Linked DNA regions of Caenorhabditis elegans. The protein of the gene in region 2 interacts with the protein of the main gene of each other region in a pairwise test. Each region holds a gene or a part of one and is shown on either strand. Other genes may lie near its edges.

Region 1 (3,756 bases), on a different chromosome or scaffold from region 2:
CGAGCATGAAGCCATGTTGATCAGATAAATGACGCGAGTCAAGTGCAAAAGATTATTGTGTTATACTTTTTTATTTGATACTGAAAATTGTAACCTTTTCAACTGAGAGATTGGTTAAATGTACCTGTGTTTCAGAAATATTTTAAACCTATGCTCGGAGAATGCTTGACATTTTTTTCAAAATAAGTTCTGATAAAGAGCTTTCGATAAGAATTCAACAAGCATCTGCTGGCGGATGTACATAGGAGAGGGAGAAAAAAGAATACTCATAAAAATACATTTAGAATTGCACAAAAAAGTTGAGTTTGGAAAAATTTTAATTCGAAAAATACCCAAACCACAGAACAGGTACTACTTTTGTAGCGAAACTATATGACTTCCATGGCAGTAAGTCCAATATTTTTAAAGAATAAATAATTGGCATAACTTTTAGAAAACAAGAGGCATTTAGACTGCGAAAGTGTATTGCACTTCAAAATTTGAAGCAATTTATTATCTTAATTTTTCTGAAATCGGACAAGAAAAGAAGAAGTGAAAGGAGGCAAAAAAGACGAAGCTGAGCCAATCGATGGCCAAATTTTTTAGAACGACAACGACTGAAGACGACTTAAAAATATGAGCATACGGATAAACAGGGAGATTAACTGGCATCCGCCAACAGATTCACCATGCAAAGGATTAACTGTCAACTATAACATTTCTTTTATTTTCTCCTTTTTATAGAAAATATATTTATTCACTATTTCATCCAGGTTCGTCCGTTGACGTACTACAGCTATGCAACCAGATTTATTCGAATAAAAAGAATATCGTGATCTTCACAATGAAGCTCGTATTTCTATTTCAAAAACTTGACTCATTTTTAAGTAGTGATGAGATGCAATAACATTAAAATTTAGGTGCTTACGTAATAACCGGGCCAATCGGAAACAAGACGAAATCTAAAACGAACGCATTTGCAAAGTCGAGCTACTGGCTACTAGTGAAGATTTTTAATTTACATCGAGTTGAAAAATAAAGATAAAATAATAAAAATAAAGATGTTTATGATCCATGTTCTTGATTAGGATACATATTATAATACTTCGGAAATGACATACATACATAGGTATGCATACAAGAAGCAATATCGCTTCATTAACAAACTATCCTAGATCATAATTTAAAGAAAAATGTTACACTTTCAGTAATTGGACTTTGTCTCAATTTTTCTCTATTTAATGTATCCTGGCATACAAAGCGTATTATAGAAAAACCGTTTCCGAAAAATTTTAGTTTTTCAGATATTTCGAAAACAATTCGATTTTTGCAAAAATATATTAACATTTTGACCATTTTCCTTTTTTTTCAGAGAAAACATTTCATGTTTTTTCTCATCAAAATGAACAACTTTTGGTAATTTTTTAGTTTTTTTGTTAATTTTCTAAAAAAATTTTTCTTTAACTATAGAAAAAAAATAAAGAATATTGAAATAATTTTAGCGGTTTTGGAAAAAAAAAACATTATCTGCATCGAAATTCGACATAAAAAATATTTGCAAATAAAATTTTCAACTTATTCTTGATAACTTAAAAGCTTAATTACATGGACAATAATATGCAATTGATTTATAATTAAATTGAAAGTTAAAAATAAAAGAATAAAACAGTTAGAACAAATTCTACCATCATGACTTTTACAGAAACTTTGACACGAAAAAACAAAAAACCACAATAAAACGCTGTTCTCTATTATTTCCGCTTTCATCGAACGAAGAAGAAAATCATCCGACAATCGGCAATTCTATGCACGCAAAACATAAAAAGAACTGACAGAGACATGTGCAAAGAGATTTTTTTTAGGGGGAGATTTCTATTGCAATGAGAGAGATAATATCTTGTTTTATAGGTTGCATTTTTACTTTTTTCGGTTTGGTAAGATACACTCAGAACTCACTTTTCTGTTGCATTACTTGGGCTCTTCTTTTGATACATAACGACTCCAAAATTGAGCATTTGATTCTGAAACTATAGAAAAAAAAAAAGATTGGCTAGAAACAAAAATAAAAAGTTAGATTGGAGTTTTTGGAGGGAAACGTTGAGTAGGCGAAACGCCGGAGCTTATCAATCACTATGGGCAGTTGAGTGGAGAGAGATTTGTGATGTGAATAAAATTATAAATAAATTGAAAGTATTTCTGATCCTCTCACTCTCTCTTTCTTTCCTGTTCTCAACATTCACCTCTACTAATCCCCTTTTTCCAGCTCATCACAAGGTTGCTCTTCGTTTTCTGATTTTGTGTGCTCATGGATTACTGTAACATTTCTAGATTTAGATAATGGTAAAGTGTATGGTGAATGGTGACATATCCGAAAACATGAAACTTGAAAATATTAATCTAGTTAAATACTTCTGCCGTTGACATTTGAGACCAGCTATTATAATAATCTCCTTTTTTCCACTCTATAAGCAACAATTTTCAATATTTTGACATCCTGTGAATTGCAAAAAATGAATATATTTTCTAAGGGGTTCGATAGTAGACATGAATTTTTCAGACGTGCTCGCCTGCCTGCTTGCCGCTGATGAAAGGTTTGATAGGAAGATGCTAAATTATGGCAGGAGTAGGAAGTTGTTCCTAACTGTCGAGCAGTGACTTTGCACTTTGTTGTCAGGAAAATTTGGTTTAACCGTTAATCCTTCAGATGAAGTTTGATTCCTGGAAGTTTTCTGAATTTGAGTTGTATCACTGTCTGTATGTTTAAATACATAAACTCCCGTGAAAAAAATTGAAAAAAAAAACAAATACGACGAGGCAAACTTATTTATTTCCCAATATAATTTTACTCAAAATCGTCGTAAAATTTTTGCAATGAAGGTGAGTTGGAGTGCGGGAGTTCGAGCCTGCCTGTACCTGGCTACGCGTCTACCTGAAAATAAAATAAGACATCAGAAATTCTAGAATAAGTTTCCTGCAATGGGTCGCCTGTAGTATGATTATTTAAAAAAAAGACAAATTCGGTATTCCTGGTATAGTAAAATGTAATTTTCAATTTTCAGAAATCTGAGAAAAAAGAATGTAAGAGTGAAACGACCGAAAAGACTGAAAGGACAACAGATGGCAGCAGTATTTCAAACTCAGTTATGATCAATTTTCCGGACGACTCAATGTATCAAAATGTAGAAAAAACTAAAAGCGTTGGAAGGTGAGCAACTTTATCCCAAATATCCCAAAACACTTTTTAATTTCCAGAGTAACTAATGAAATGATTGACAATTATTTATTGAGATACCAATTTTTCCATGGTTTTGTGCTCCAAGAGCTACAACTGATCTTGTTGAAGACGAACGGAGACTTTCTCCTGAGATTGTCGCATCAACCAGAGAAGAATGCGAAGAAGCCGACGACTCCGGACAAAAGTGCCACTGATCCGATTCCACTGACTCGTGTCATTCTTGTTCTGTCCGTCAATATCAGTTTGTTTTATTTTTTGTTTTTTTAACTTCCTAGCAGCTTGGAAACTTATTCAATGAACTTCTCATAAGTTGTCAAGCTGTTGCGGGGAACTTGCCCTCACTGTTCGTTGAAAAACTCTAGATTTTACAATTATGTTCCCTATTCAGCACAAAAAACCGGCACCACACGAAGTTTCTATGGGGATCTGGAGGATGTGAAGAAAGAGAACATGGATATGCATTTGTTTATTGAAGAAACCGCCGGCAAATGGACCTCGTTTTATATTGAGCGGCGATTCAAGTTTCCGACTATTGATGAGCT
Region 2 (3,756 bases):
GACACTGATTTGTACAAAGCACTCTTCAAATTCAGACATCTTCCACGTGGGCTGATGACTGTCTTCATTCGAAGCACCATGTTGATGCCGGTGGTGTCTGTGTCCTCGCCACGTGGCTTGTGCAGCATTTTTGATTGCTTGTCAAACTCGTCATAGTCGGATGGATGAAGAAAGTCTCGAAGGGCTCGACCTGTTAAATCTGTCTGAAAATATATCGATGTTAAAGAAGCAAGTTTTCTATTGCTCACCTGTGTTAATCCTAAATACATTGCAACACTTTCAGTGACGTAAAGAATTGAAGAATCACTGTCAACAATCATAACAAAGCCGTCCAAGCATTCGGCGATGGTGTCTTCAGTCCATACCTCATTTGTGATTTCATTGTCCAAATTGTTTTCCAATACTGAAAGAAAAATATTAATTTGAGAAAAATTGGCAGTGATTTTTGGTCGATTTTCTCAGCATAAAACACGATTTTCAAGTGATTTTTGATGTTGAATCAACTATTTCTTTATTCGATGTCACTTACCATTACCGGCTGTCTTGCGCAGTCGACAAATTGTGGCGGCAACACGAAGAAGTGCAATACGGTCTAGATGAGTTACGGTACCTTCTTCAACAATAGGCACACACATTTTCAGATCATCAAATATATCCGATTCTTTAGACCGACGATCACGAGCCGCGTGTCTCGATGTTTCACGACGGCGTTCCATGTTTCTAAAAAGTTTGATTTTGAATTTCTTGTCACCCCAAAATTGGTGAATTTCAAAAAATTATATACCTATATAAGTACACTTCTCATGAGGTTTTTCGATTTAATTTAGTTTTAAGTATAACTGGGAAAATTTATTTTTTCAAAGGTGGAGTAGGAGGAGCCAGTGGAGAAAGTGTTGAAAACTAATCCAATGGTACTAAAATGACCGAATATCAAATTAAAAATTGTCAAAAATTTTTTGAAATTGTTTATTTACCGTCCGTTAGATGATAATCACTCAATTTTTGCCACTCATAATTTTGGAAGCATAGTAGGGATCGGAACATGCGGCATTCCTCAAATACTTATGTTTGTAAAAATTTTGGCCATTTGCCAAAACTTTGACCGGAAATTATGAAAAATCTAAAAAATTTTTAAGTGTTTTATTATGATTTTTGGTTGTTTCGAGCCATTGTAAGTGTATTTTTTAGGCAAAACTGCCACTGGCGCTACTCCACCTTCAATCACAATTATTTCACAATTTATTTTCATAATTTACTTTATCTAACATCTCCGATTAAAAATGAGTTGTGTCTAAAAAGAGCGAGATATATTTTATATAGATGATTCACATTTGATATTCGATTCGGAAATGCGCATTTTCAATACATCTACCTCTGCCAATGCTCCCTCTCTCTCATTTGCGAGCAGAGCATGGAGCAAACCCAAAGGACTACGGTACTTCTAGCGTTTTCAGGCATCCAATCATGGAATGTTTAAGAATGAATTTCGATTCTAACAGAATTCTAACTCTACCTTTTCCGATTGTCTTCCATCTTGATAGTGAATAGGTGCAGCTTCAGTGAAGCTGAGGTTGGTGTGATTGGGGCAACTTCCCCGTAATGACGGGCAACTTTCAGGTGGGCTGAAAATGTATGACAATTTTAAATTGAATAGAATCGGGTAGAGGGAATTAGAAAAATTGTATCAAATGTTCTTAAAATTATCATTGAGAACATAAGGGGTTGTTAGATTTTCGAATGTTAACACTTTTGAATAAAAAATCAAGTTTAGTTATGATTTATAGCACTAGGGTAGAGTGTAGTGAGACAAATTGAAACATCATAAATACCAAGGGTGCACAAAACGATCGATTGGATATGTTAGTGACAGTTGTTTGGACGGGGTCCCAGAGGACGTCAAGATTTGTAACAATTTCATGGACAATTGACTATTTGTTAGGCAAGTATCATAAGAATGTTGCAGAAAACAAATCATAGAGATCAAATGCTCAATTTAAAACCCAAATCTAAAAACAAGAACTTAGGTAGACTGGAAATTTCGCTGAATTCAATTCAAGAAAAATTGTCAATTTCTTTATATTGAGTGAATACAAACTGATTACAAGAATCATGTGATAAGCCAGTGAAGGAGAAAAGGGCACACAAAAAGATTAAAAGCAAAATTTTCCCGATTCAAAAATATAAATCTGGATATTGATGTTACGTCAATGGTATGAATGGGGCAAGATTGAGGGGGTGACTAACATCAAACTATGAATGAACTACGATCAATCTTTGAAAAAATTGTAGTTGAAGTAAGTCAAAGAACAGGGGAATCACTAGAATGTAGTGTTTTCACCGAGCGTAAACAATAATGTTTTTGAAGATAACTATACTCAAGTTCAGAAAGGGTAGTTTGTGTAGTGATTTTAGTTTATCCTTATTATCAAGTGAATTTCAAATAAAATAGTTAAGATCGGGATTCAATCAATCTTTGGACTTAAAGGCGGTGTAGTCGAATTTTTAATTACTCTATTACACTCAAAATTGTCTGAAAACACCGAATTTTCTAATTAAATTTTTGAAAAGGACACAAAAAAACTATGGCGGCCCAAAATATGACAAAAAAATAAGTTTTCAGCCGCTGAGAGTTGCTCAAATTTTAAAATTTAACTGATTTTAGGTCCTTTTTGAGCCACCATAATTTTTTTGAGAAGTTTTCAAAAAGTTTCATTAAGAAATTTGGTGTTTTCAGACAGTTTTGAGTCTAATAAAGCTAGTCCTTACATCTCATATCACACTTTTTAGCTTAATCGAGAAATTGAAAATATCGATACATCAAGAGAGTGCACAATTAATATAAATCCTCAAAATATAATAAAGAATTGTCGAAAGTTATTGGAACATTAAATAAAATCAATAGTCATATGAAACGAGGGAAACAGATAGTCATCATCAACAAGCGGGAGGCGACGACAAAATGTAAGAAGAAAGATGTTGATAAGACAAGAAATTGAACGACAGTGGGCAAAACGACTTCTCAGAGACTGTCGATTGACAGAATGTTAGACAAAAAATTGGGGGAAAGCTAGAGTACAGAGAAGTAGAGTGACTGATAATTGATTAAATTTAGCGAAAATTGAGTTTAGTCCATATCTTTATAATGGAAAGGATCAACTTTTTCCGATATGTGGTTCAGGAGCTATGTTTTGACATTGGAGTTAAATAAAAATTTAAAATACAGATCAATGAAATCAAACCTATTAGCGTTACCTTTGAACTATAAGAATTAATAGATTTTCTGAAAATCTGAAATCTCTCATTAGAGAAAAACTGAGCAGCTAGTGGGCGGTGCCTACAAACCAAAGATGGGCATCCAAACATTTCTTCGTTGATCAAAAAATGAATTAGAGAAGTAGAGTTTTCTCTGAAAATTGAGAGAGGTGAAGAAAAACCAAAAAAAAGACCTCTCATCTAACACACTCTCTTGACCCAGTAAGTACATAAACCACGGAGACACGAGACAAGCAGGCAGACATATTGAATAGTGTGCGATTTGGAGAGAGTCCAAAGAGATGAGAGAGTGAGAGAACTAAAGAGAGGACAACGTCAGTAGTGCTGTCGCGACAGAATTCCGACGCGCGCGTACATCGCGATGATGGTCAAGAGTACAGAGAGACACTAGAGGGTAGTATAAACGAGGGAGACGCAGAGATCGACATAGAGAGGGAACACGTGGTTTAGAGAAGGGCGGTGCGGTAAATGAAATTGGGATGA
Region 3 (3,756 bases), about 17 Mb from region 2:
CGAGTAATAGATGAATGCATCAAAGGAAGGAAAAACGTGATTTCACCAACCTTTCGATTGCCGTGTCCACGTCGTCTTTCATGGCCATGTAGCCGTATAACTGCTTGGTGATGCGGACTCGTTCGTTGTTCACAAGCTTGCGAGCCGGTAGAGAGATGTCAGCGTCTGGAATCGCATCAAAGTGAAAGTTTGGCTCTTATTGAGATTCCGCCCGGACCTGGATTCAGAAACGTTACCGCTTTGAACGCTGCAAATTCGGTTGCGTCGAGCTGTAGATCACGGAACGGCTTGAGCACGAGATCCAACATTTGATACTTTTTCCTGTTGAGTCCGGCTGGCCTATAACGATTGAACACAACGCGGAACGAGACGGGAATTGGGGCTCGGTTTGGAGTATATGTGACCGACAACTTACCGGGTTGGCTCTGGAGTACGATCGAAGTAGGCACCATCTGGGAATACAATTGTGTCTGGTCCGTAGTCCGGGGAGTTCCAGACTTGAACCAGGACTGGGACTGTTATTGCGGCATGGCGAACAAGTTCGGCCTGGAAAGGATTGAAATAATTAAATCGTTATACATGTTTCTGGTTTTCTTCCAACCTTATCTTGATAATCGAGCGCCTCAAAAACATCGAATGTTTTGGCATACTCTGTCAACAAGAACCAGTCTCTCTCGTGCCAATAGTGGTAGTCGTCGTGATTGACGAATCGTAGATCGAAGATCTGATGTCTCTCACTCGGCTGTCCCCACTTTTCCAAAAAAGCCGTGTCGTTCAGCAGAGCCTTTGAGCATAGAGCCTCGTGGAGAGATCGGATTGGAAGATATTCGGAGAGTCGGAGATCATTTGCACACTTTTCGCGTTCGGCAAGAGTTTGTAGGATGCAGCGACGAGGTTTCAGTGGTGCAGCTTGGAAAAGGAGTGGCGAGATTGGTGGAGGCTGTAATTTGGGATCACGTGGTGTCAGAGTTTCTCATTTCGGCTTGATCTACGTAGATCTATAGAAAATGCGGGAAAAGAGACGCAGAGTTCTCAACTGATTTTGCATGGTTGAGAACGTGCTGACGTCACACATTTTTTGGGCAAAAAAATTCTCGCATTTTTTGTAGATCAAACCGTAATTGGACTAATTAATTACCGATAGCTGTAATGGAGACACTGATGGTGGGGTGCTTGCTCCTTCGTCACTTGAACAGTCCGAGGTAGTCTTCAGCTCTTTTTTTGGACGCCTGGTACGTTTTGTGTATCCGATAGGGTCACGGTTTTGTTGGAGGGCGTTTCGGTCCATTCCCACGCTCAAACATTTCTCGAATCGGCAGTATCGGCAGGCACAGCGGATAGCTGAACTTTTGAAATATTTTTTATAAGTTCCTTGTTACTGCTAACAAGTGGTGTCAGAGTGTCCCATTTCGTTTTGATCTACGAGAATTGCGGAACTGATTCCGCATGGTTAAGAACGTGCTGACGTCACATTTTTTGGGCGAAAAATCCCCGCATTTCTTGTAGATCAAACCGAAATGGGACAGCCTGACACCAAGTGTGCTAAATAACTCACTTTTATCAACTGGACAATTGCCCTCGAATTGGCAAATGTACTTTTGTTTCTTCATAATTGTTCGCCGGAAAAATGTCTTGCATCCGACACATGACGGGACACCATAATGGTAGCCAGAAGCGAAATCTTGACAAACGAGACAAACGTGATCACGAGACGAGCTCGGAGACGATTGAGGTGTCATTTTGACCTGAAATACGCCTTGTTTGTATTGGTTTTTTTTGTGACAACGAGAATAATGCCAAGAGACACTAGACACGATAACAAATGCAAAGTGCCCCCGAATCGATGCGTTTTAGAGATAAAATGAAGGAGAAGAGGAGAGGTAAACTACAACAATTGAACTGTGATGTGAGACAGGCTAGGGACAGCTGTTGCAAAAAAACATTTGAACTTTTGATTTCTAATCATTTGAGCAAACTTTTTTTGAAACAATGATTTGCTGGGTGGTTTTGGAAGTTTTTTTGGAAAGAAATCAAGTCCTTGATGAAGTGACTCGGAAAAACGGGCGGTCAAATGATTGTTCATTATCAACATATTAACAGGCTGCCTAAGAAATGAGAATAGAAGACCTTGAGATGTATATTCTATATATGTCTGATATCAACGTGAAGATCGAACTGTCTTGCAATAAAACACAGTGGCTTGGGGCCTGCTGCTGACCAGCAGCTTCATCGCGTCCTCATGTATTTTTCACACTACCCCCTCCTCCTCTCAATTTCCGATCGTCCCCGTCGTCATACGACAAAGATTTGGGACGTTATCGCTGCCCGTTATATACGATTCTTCTTGACCAATGAACAAAGTACATGCGATGGGGGGGGGGGGGGGGGTGGAGCCTCTCTTGGAAAATGCCACGAGAAAACCACGCCATGTAATGTTGAAGAAGGGAAGATTTGATAAAGAAAGAAGTCTGCACCTACCTACTATGTGAGAAGACTTTTGTACACACAGACTGTAGCAGCAGCAGCAGAAGAAGAAGCTACACGTGGTGGCAGAGTGTCTCATTTTGGATTGATCTACGTTGATCTACAAAAAATGCGGGTGAGAAGAAACGCAGAGTTCTCAACTGTTTTCGGATGGTTAAAAACGTACTGACGTCACACATTTTTTTGGGCGAAAATTTCCGCATTTTTTGTAGATCAAACCGTAATGGGACCGTCTGGCACTACGTGAGCTAATCAATTTGTCTATGATACAGGAGACATGAAGAATGAGAAAGTTGCATTGTTAGTTGCTGAGAAATAGGCGAAAATTCGTCCTATTAGATGTTTTGGTCATTTGATTGCTGATAAGACACTGATAAGTGCTAATCAATTTAAGAATTAGTTGTTGGTAAATTTAACCATCTTATGATTAAAATAAAAACATCAATATTTGTACAAAAAATTCTGAGAATGCGTATTGCATAACATATTTGACGCGCAAAACATCTCGTAGCGAAAAAGAAGACTACAGTAATCGTTTAAATGACTTCTGTAGTGCTTCTGTGTCGATTTACGAGCTCGATTTTTGAAATGAATTCTTCTTTTCGAATATTGCCGGTCCAGAGAATGAGGAAAGTTGAATGGACACAGATATTCCGGAACCCAAGGTTGCGGGAAGAGCCGATTTGTATGGATTTACGGAGAGTTTGTGAATAAAAACACTCCGTAAATCGACAAAAATCGTCTCTTCCCGCGCCCCGCCCCTTGGGTTCCGGAATGTCTGTGTCCATTCAACTATCTACACTCTCTGTACCGGTAATATTTGAAAAGAAGAATTTAATTAAAGAATCGATCTCCCGTAAATCGACACAAAAGCACTACAGTAGCCATTTAAACGATTACTGTAGTTTTCTTTTTCGCTGCGAGATATTTTGCGCGGCAAATGTGTTGCACAATACGCAGCATTCTCAGAATTTTTTTTTTCGATGTCAGCGTGGCGAGACCCATGCGCGCAGGATACGCCGAAAATGCTTTTATTCAGACTTCAAAGCGACTTTTTGCAAAAATCCAAAATTGTCCTAAATTTCTTTAAAAAATCACAAACAAAATGAAAAAAAAATCGCGGAAGATTGCAAAAATCCAACTTCACGTAGTGTCAGAAAGTCTCATTGCGGTTTGATCTACAAAAAATGCGCGATTTTTTTCCCAGAAAAATTGTGACGTCAGCACACTCTTAACCATGCGAAATCAGTTGAGATGTCTGCGTCTCACCTC

The links.
Region 1: the proteins of hif-1 (region 2) and kin-4 interact in a two-hybrid assay, tested with the Caenorhabditis elegans proteins (one large-scale study listed by BioGRID).
Region 3: the proteins of hif-1 (region 2) and nhr-114 interact in a two-hybrid assay, tested with the Caenorhabditis elegans proteins (one large-scale study listed by BioGRID).

What each region holds. Positions count from the first base shown.
Region 1 is NC_003282.8:11,423,980-11,427,735, reverse strand, and holds the start of kin-4 (non-specific serine/threonine protein kinase), read right to left. Parts: upstream 1,995-3,756; coding exon 1,936-1,994; intron 1,603-1,935; exon of another isoform or gene 1,582-1,602; intron 1-1,581. Other genes in the region: F22B3.8 (Tyrosine-protein kinase), read left to right, coding at 2,851-2,856, 3,039-3,184, 3,232-3,455, 3,603-3,756.
Region 2 is NC_003283.11:20,778,279-20,782,034, reverse strand, and holds the start of hif-1 (Hypoxia-inducible factor 1), read right to left. Parts: upstream 1,629-3,756; 5' UTR 1,534-1,628; coding exon 1,514-1,533; intron 721-1,513; coding exon 530-720; intron 404-529; coding exon 249-403; intron 204-248; coding exon 1-203.
Region 3 is NC_003283.11:4,185,192-4,188,947, reverse strand, and holds the start of nhr-114 (Nuclear hormone receptor 114), read right to left. Parts: upstream 1,746-3,756; 5' UTR 1,740-1,745; coding exon 1,556-1,739; intron 1,342-1,555; coding exon 1,139-1,341; intron 941-1,138; coding exon 602-940; intron 547-601; coding exon 416-546; intron 340-415; coding exon 218-339; intron 166-217; coding exon 51-165; exon of another isoform or gene 1-50. UniProt on the Caenorhabditis elegans protein: Probable transcription factor which may have a role in detoxifying dietary metabolites arising from bacterial tryptophan metabolism.